Linked DNA regions of Macaca mulatta. The protein of the gene in region 1 interacts with the protein of each later gene in a pairwise test. Links are inferred from orthologs where the notes say so. Each region holds a gene or a part of one and is shown in the gene's direction. Other genes may lie near its edges.

Region 1 (3,818 bases):
ATCTCGCCACTGTACTCCAACCTGGGTGACAGAGTGAGACTCCTTCCCAAAAAAAAGAGCTGTGGCTCACGACTGTAATCCCAGCACTTTGGGAGGCTGAGGCAGGCAGATCATGAGGTCAGGAGATTGAGACCATCCTGGCTAACACGGTGAAACCCCGTCTCTACTAAAAATACAAAAAATTAGCCGGGCGTGGTGGTGGGTGCCTGTAGTCCCAGCTACTCGGGAGGCCGAGGCAGGAGAATCACTTGAACCCGGGAGACAGAGGTTGCAATGAGCTGAGATTGCGCCACTGCACTCCAGCCTGGGTGACAGAGGGAGACTTTGTCTCAAAAAAATAAAAATAAGGCCAGGCGCAGTGGCTCAAGCCTGTAATCCCAGCACTTTGGGAGGCCGAGGCGGGTGGATCATGAGGTCAGGAGATCGAGACCATCCTGGCTAACATGGTGAAACCCCGTCTCTACTAAAAATACAAAAAAAACTAGCCGGGCGTGGTGGCGGGCGCCTGTAGTCCCAGCTACTCGGAGGCTGAGGCAGGAGAATGGCGTGAACCTGGGAGGCGGAGCTTGCAGTGAGCCGAGATCGCGCCACTGCACTCCAGCCTGGGTGACACAGCGCGAGACTCCGTCTCAAAAAAATAAAAAAATAAATAAATAAATAAATAAATAAAAATAAAAATAAATAAATAAAGAAGAAGAAGAAGAAGAAAACAGATGCGAGCTAATCTTCCCCTCCTGCCCTGCCCATCAGGTCTCCTACACCGCCACCATGCCGTTCGGTAATACTCACAACAAGTTCAAGCTGAATTACAAGCCTGAGGAGGAGTACCCCGACCTCAGCAAACATAACAACCACATGGCCAAGGTACTGACCCTTGATCTCTACAAGAAGCTGCGGGACAAGGAGACCCCATCGGGCTTCACCCTAGACGATGTCATCCAGACAGGAGTGGACAACCCAGGTGAGCCTCCCTGGTAGAGCACTGAAGGGGCTACATGGGGGCTCCAGAGGCTGCAGGCTACGCCCCATCCCACCTCCCCTGAAGTGGGGGGGGGGTCTCAGTTTTCTCATCTGTAAACCGGGGCTGTTGTGAGAATCAATGCACTGATATACGTAAAGGGCTTGGGACAGTGCAAGGTATGCAGCAAACCACGCAATAAACATGCACGAGAATAATGTGAGATCCCCGAGGAGGTCGGTTCATCTCCCGAACCTCAGTCTCCTCATCTGAAAAATGGGCACCCATGTTGTGAAAACACAGGTCAATGACTGTGCAGTGCTTACAGTGGCGCCTAGCACCAAGTGAGTGCTCAAGCTCTGACGGGAGGCCAGGTGCAGTGGCTCATGCCTGTAATCCCAACATTTGGGGAGGCCCAGGTGGAAGGATCGCTTGAGGCCAGGAGTTTGAGACCAGCCTGGGCAACATAGCAAGACCCTGTCTCGACAAAAAATACAAAAAAATTAGCCAAGTGTGGTAATGAGGGCCTGTGGTCCAAGCTACTCAGGAGGCTGCGGTGGGAGGATAGCTTGAGCCTGGGAGGTGCAGGTTGCAGTAAACCGAGATCGCGCCACTGTACTTCAGCCACAGAGTGAGACCCTGTCTCAAAAAAAAGAGAATCGGATAGGGGATGTTATTAATGTTATGGTTGTTTCTCAAAGCCCTTTCGCTCACAAGGCGAAGAGAGCTGGGAGTAGACAGGAGGCTCTAGTGCCCCTCACGTCCAGCTCTCTGCGTGATGCAGTGGAGAGGCCTTTCTCTTCGGGCCCCTGTTTTTCCACTGGGTCTTCCAAGTCTCTGGCCTTCCTGACCCTCTGTGGCAGGTGGTACCCCAAGATCCTAACAACATTTCAGGCTGAGACGTCATGACTTTGGGTGCTAATGTTTCCGAGGTGCTGATGTTTTTAGCACCAGGTACCCTCTGAAGCTCCCCCTTCTCCTTTGACCCCACGCCCCGCATTCTTTCTTCTCTCCTACTTTGACTCCTCCCAGCCACCTTGACCTCTCCCAGTCTTCCCTCCCGGTTCCCACCAGTCCTCAGTCTTATTTCTTTTTTTTTTTTTCCTTTCTTTTTTTTTGAGAAAGAGTTTGTTCTATCACCCAGGCTGGAGTGCAGTGGTGCCATCTCGACTCACTGCAACCTCCACCCCCTTGGTTCAAGCAATTCTCATGCCTCAGCCTCCCAAGTAGCTGGGATTACAGGCGTGTGCCCCACACCCAGCTAATTTTTGTATTTTTAGTAGAGACAGGGTTCACCCTGTTGGCCAGGCTGGTCTCAAACTCCTGACCTCAAGAGATCCACCCCCCTCGGCCTCCCAAAGTGCTGGGATTGCAGGTATGAGCCACTGCGCCCAACCCTTAGTATTCTCAATTCCCACCCAGAGGTATTGAATGTACCCCCCACAACCCTGACAGACACATGTCCACACAGTCTCCACTGAGCCCACGAGCCCAGGCCCTGTTTGCTGGGGACTAGCAGTTCTGACCTCACCCCCACCCCTCCAGGTCACCCCTTCATCATGACTGTGGGCTGCGTGGCTGGTGATGAGGAGTCCTATGAAGTTTTCAAGGAACTCTTTGATCCCATCATCTCGGATCGCCACGGGGGCTACAAACCCACCGACAAGCACAAGACTGACCTCAACCATGAGAACCTCAAGGTCAGTGTCTGCACGGAGGGGAGGGCTGAGGGGTGAGGAGGAGAGAGATCACAGGAGAGATGGGGGGAGAGAGAAATACAGAGACACAGAGGTGTGGAGAAGCAGAGAGATGAAAGAGAGAGGGACATTGGGAGGCCGAGGCGAACATATCACTTGAGGTCAGGAGTTTAAGACCAGCCTGGCCGGCCGGGCACAGTGGCTCACGCCTGTAATCCCAGCACTTTGGGAGGCCGAGGCAGGCAGATCACGAGGTCAGGAGATCAAGACCATCCTGGCTAACACGCTGAAACCCCGTCTCTACTAAAAATACAAAAAAAAAAAAAATTAGCCGGGCATGGTGGTGGGCGCCTGTAGTCCCTGCTACTCGGGAGGCTGAGGCAGGAGAATGGCGTGAACCCGGAAGGCAGAGCATGCAGTGAGCGAAGGCCAAACCACTGCACTCCAGCCTGGGTGACAGAGCGAGACTCCGTCTCAAAAAAAAAAAAAAAAAAAAAAAAGACTAGCCTGGCCAACATGGCAAAACTCTGTCTCAAAAAAAAAAAAAAAAAAAGAATGGGCCAGCCAGGCACAGTGGCTCACGCCTGTAATCCCAGCACTTTGGGAGGCCGAGGTGGGCAGATCACCTTAGGTTGAGAATTCGAGACCAGCCTGAACAACATGGAGAAATCCTGTCTCTACTAAAAATACAAAATTAGCTGGGTGTGCTGGTGCATGTGGTAGCACATGCCTGTGATCCCAGCTACGCGAGAGACTGAGGCAGAAGAATCGCTTGAACCTGGGAGGCGGAGGTTGCAGTGAGCAGAGATCGTGCCATTGCACTCCAGCCTGGGCAACAAGGGTGAAACTTGGTCTCAAAAAACAAAACAAAAAAAACAAAAAAATAAATTAGCTGGGCATGGTGGTGCACGCCTGTAATCCCAGCTACTCAGGAGGTGGAGGCAGGAAAATCTCTTGCACCCAGGAGACGGAGGCTGCAGTGAGCTAAGATCGTGCCACTGCACTCCAGCCTGGGTGACAGAGCAAGATTCTATCTCAGAAAAAAAAAAAAAAAGGAAAGAGAGAGGGACAGAGAGACACAGAGACAGCCAAGGAGACAGAAAGAGGAGAGGGAGAGGGAGAAGAAAGGCACAAACGCATGTAGAAAAGGAAGAGGCATAGCT
Region 2 (3,818 bases), on another chromosome or scaffold:
GCCTTGCTGCACATCTCTTTCATCCTTCTTGGACCACTGGCTACCTGAGGAATTATTTTCTCTTGGCAAAACGCTGGAGCACAGCAGGGCAAGTCCAACCATGCAAGAATACTTCCAATCTGTCCATGTCACATCGGCTAACATCCCACTGGTCAAGTCACATGACCACATCCAAACTCAAGAATCAAGAGAAGTACATTTTGTCAACTAAGAGTAGTTGACGACTGAAAATAAATATATTAAAGTTAAGCCATTCGATCTTTTTTTTTTTTTTTTTTTCCAAAACTAAGAACTGACTGTGGACTGGACACTGTGAAGTAATGGTGTGAAGTAATGGGTTAATTACCTTATGATATTATATGACTCAGACTTGTTAATAATTTAGACAAACCACAGTTAATCTGAGGTAAAACTGTAGCTTGATGATGAACTATAAATGAGTTTCTAACTTTGTAGAAGGAACCTTTCTGTAATGTGAGTATATGGTGAAAACTTTTTGTTTTGTGTTACCAATAGCTGTGTTGTTGTATTTCATTTACCTGGATTTATGTATAAACACCTAAATGCTGGTTTTATTACTATTATTATTATTATTATTATTATTATTTTTTTTTTTTGAGATAGGGTTTCGCTCTTGTTCCCCAGTCGGGAGTGCAGTGGCGCGATCTCGGCTCACTGCAACCTCCGCCTCCCGGGTTCAAGCAATTCTGCCTCAGCCTCCCGAGTAGCTGGGCCTACAGGCATGTGCCACCACGCCCGGCTAATTTCGTATTTTTTTTTTTTTTTGAGACGGAGTCTTGCTCTGTCGCCCAGGCTGGAGTGCAGTGGCCAGATCTCAGCTCACTGCAAGCTCCACCTCCTGGGTTCACGCCATTCTCCTGCCTCAGCCTCCCGAGTAGCTGGGACTACAGGTACCCGCCACCTTGCCCAGCTAGTTTTTTTGTATTTTTTAGTATAGACGGGGTTTCACTGTGTTAGCCAGGATGGTCTCGATCTCCTGACCTCGTGATCCGCCCGTCTCGGCCTCCCAAAGTGCTGGGATTACAGGCTTGAGCCACCGCGCCCGGCCAATTTTGTATTTTTAGTAGAGACGAGGTTTCACCATGTTGGTCAGGCTGGTCTCGAACTGCTGACCTCAGGTAATCCATCAGCCTTAGCCTCCCAAAGTTCTGGGATTACAGGCATGAGCCACCGTGCCTGGTCTAAATGCCGGTTTAAAAATGGTAGTCGTGCTGGAGGAGCATGCGCATTTTCTATTGGTTGTTTCCTATTGGTTGCCTTTTGCCCAAGTTCTGTACCTCAGCCTGTCTTTCCCCCCACTTGTGTCTGATACACTTGCATGATTTTTGCTTCATGTGACAATCATACCCCTCTTGTGGCATTGACAAAACTACTTTTTGTAAGTGTGATGACTGAGAAAATAAGGTATTTTCTCTTGCCAATTGGACATTTAATCTTAGGTACGAATAGTAAAGTAAGAAATGACATATTCTTTTCTTTGATCAAGACAAGACTTGGCAAATTTTTTTCAGTAAAGGACCAGATAGTAAATATTTTAGGCTTTGTGAACCATGCAGTCTCTGTTGGAAGTACCTAACTCTGCTGTTTAGCAGAAAAGCAGTTGTAGACAGTATGTAAATGAATGGGCATGGCTGTGTTCTGGTAAAACTTTGCTTATGGATGCTGAAATTTGAATTTCATAAAATTTTCATGTGTCACAAAATATTCCTTTGATTTCTTTTAAACCATTAAAAATGTAGAAACCATTCCTAGCTGCTGTGCTGTACAGAAGCAGGTTGTGGTCTAGATTTGACTCTGTAGGCTGTTGTTTACTGACCCTTTTGTCAAAACTATGATAGAGCTAGGAAATCTAAGAAAAAAAATTAAATGTCAGGCAAAGGAGGGTTTTTTTGAGAAAAAAAAGTTGGGTGAAACTGGTATTTTTATTACAAATATTATTAAATCCTATGTGCTACTAAATACTTACATTTAAAGAGCAATTATATTAGTTAATAGGTGCATTTCAATTTCCTAAATAAAGTACATTTAGGCTTCCTAAAAAGGTACATGCAGTCTATTTCTTTTCCCTTGCAGTTTCATAATTTCCTTTTAATTGTCCCACAAGATAGAGACACTTGTGAATATGTTAAAATTTAATAATTGCTTCTTAAAACTTAGCAATTCGGGCCACGCTGACTTTAAAAAAATTGAGAAATTTCATAAACAAACATAAAAGAACTTAAACACGTGTGCACTTGAACAAAAAGTGATGATGATGAGAGTATTGCCATGTGACTGCCTCCCCAGGTCAGGAAATGGAAAAATAGCACATTGCCGGCTCCTCCACAGAGTCACCCATCCCTCCCCTTACCATGCTTTCTAGAACACGATCCTGTCCTCTTCCACAGGATTAACCATTATCCCAATTTCCTTGTTTTCTTTATGGTTTTACTTTATATATTATGTCTTCTGAAACAATATGGGGTAGTTTTGCCTAATTTTGAACTTTAAATTGATGTAGTCATTCAGTGTGTATGCTTTTGGATTTTGCTTCTTTTGCTCAACATTATTTTTGCAAGCATCACCCTGGTAGTGCTTGCCATTATAATTTGTTGGGTGTAATCTTTCTGCTGAAAGATTATACCAAAGTTTATTAATTCAGTTCATTGTTGATGGACATTTGGTTTGTTTGCAGTTTCTATTACGACCAATGCTGTTGTGAATATTCTTGTATATGTATCTAGATGTATATATATCTAAGAGTCAGATGGCTGAGGCATAGGCGTAGGCATTGTCAGCTCTAATAGATACAGTCAAACTGTTTTCCTGAGTGGTTATACCATATTACACTCCTACCAGTCGTGTGGCAGGTTTTTTTAAAGTCAATATAAACATCTTAGTGTACCATCTGACTTTGAGCCAGGTCAACTTTGTCATAGTACTGGAATGGTGGCTGAAAAACAGCCCCGGGGCACTGTCGCTTTGCACCCCTTACTCTATTTCCCCTCCTTCAGGGGTGGCTTGTGAACATCATCACGGCAGATCATGTCTCCCCACTCCATGAAGCCTGTCTCGGAGGTCATCCCTCTTGTGTAAAGATTTTATTAAAGCATGGAGCTCAGGTAAGGGCAGCTGAAACAACATCTTAGAAACCAAGAATGAAAAATGACTATGTATATCCCTACTGAATAGCTTCCAGCACTTTTGATTAGGCTGATTTGAAATATGAAGACAGTTGTTTTTTAAGAAAATTATGTTCATCAGACTTGTTTGCTTTAGTGATAGGTGGATGCAATACTAAATTTTTAGTCGTGCTTACAGTCTATATCATTTTCTTTATCACACACTACTAATAGTTGTTAGACTTCTGTCTTCATTGTTATGGCTGGAAGGTAATGAAATATTGTGGAAAGCACACATTTGCCTGGGGTGGCTAGGATGTCTGAGGAGACAGAAAATCTATGTGGTCATTCACCCTTTGGCTGGCAACTTGGACTTGTTCACATGGTAGCAGGGATTGCAAGAGCAGCAAAAATGGACCTGTTTGGTGTTAGGTAACTGAATGGTGGAGTGGGGGATATTATGGGCTTGCTATCTTCTGGCAACAGCAAATGCAAAGTCCCAGAAGTGATTGTGAGCAATTTTTGTATCTTGAAATCATTCCTTATGGCAGGAGAGTAGAGTAGGTGAGAGGATTCAGAACCGGAAGCAACCCTGTCCATGCCAAAAAAAGAACGGGCTTTGTCCCAAGATTAGTAAAGAGCCAGAGGTGAGTGCATTGCCAGATTTATATGTGGGCTAAGAAAACATTCAAAACT

The links.
Region 2: the proteins of CKM (region 1) and ASB9 interact in binary tests that used the Homo sapiens proteins (3 or more experiments, as listed by UniProt). The two-hybrid records come from large-scale screens. The link is inferred for Macaca mulatta from reciprocal best matches to the Homo sapiens genes CKM and ASB9.

The regions. Positions count from the first base shown.
Region 1 is NC_133424.1:57,838,526-57,842,343, reverse strand, and holds part of CKM (creatine kinase M-type), read left to right. Parts: intron 1-713; exon of another isoform or gene 714-750; 5' UTR 751-768; coding exon 769-961; coding exon of another isoform or gene 962-1,044; intron 1,045-2,477; coding exon of another isoform or gene 2,478-2,503; coding exon 2,504-2,658; coding exon of another isoform or gene 2,659-2,662; intron 2,663-3,818. UniProt on the Homo sapiens protein: Reversibly catalyzes the transfer of phosphate between ATP and various phosphogens (e.g. creatine phosphate).
Region 2 is NC_133426.1:14,909,956-14,913,773, reverse strand, and holds part of ASB9 (ankyrin repeat and SOCS box protein 9), read left to right. Parts: intron 1-3,014; coding exon 3,015-3,122; intron 3,123-3,818. UniProt on the Homo sapiens protein: Substrate-recognition component of a cullin-5-RING E3 ubiquitin-protein ligase complex (ECS complex, also named CRL5 complex), which mediates the ubiquitination and subsequent proteasomal degradation of target proteins.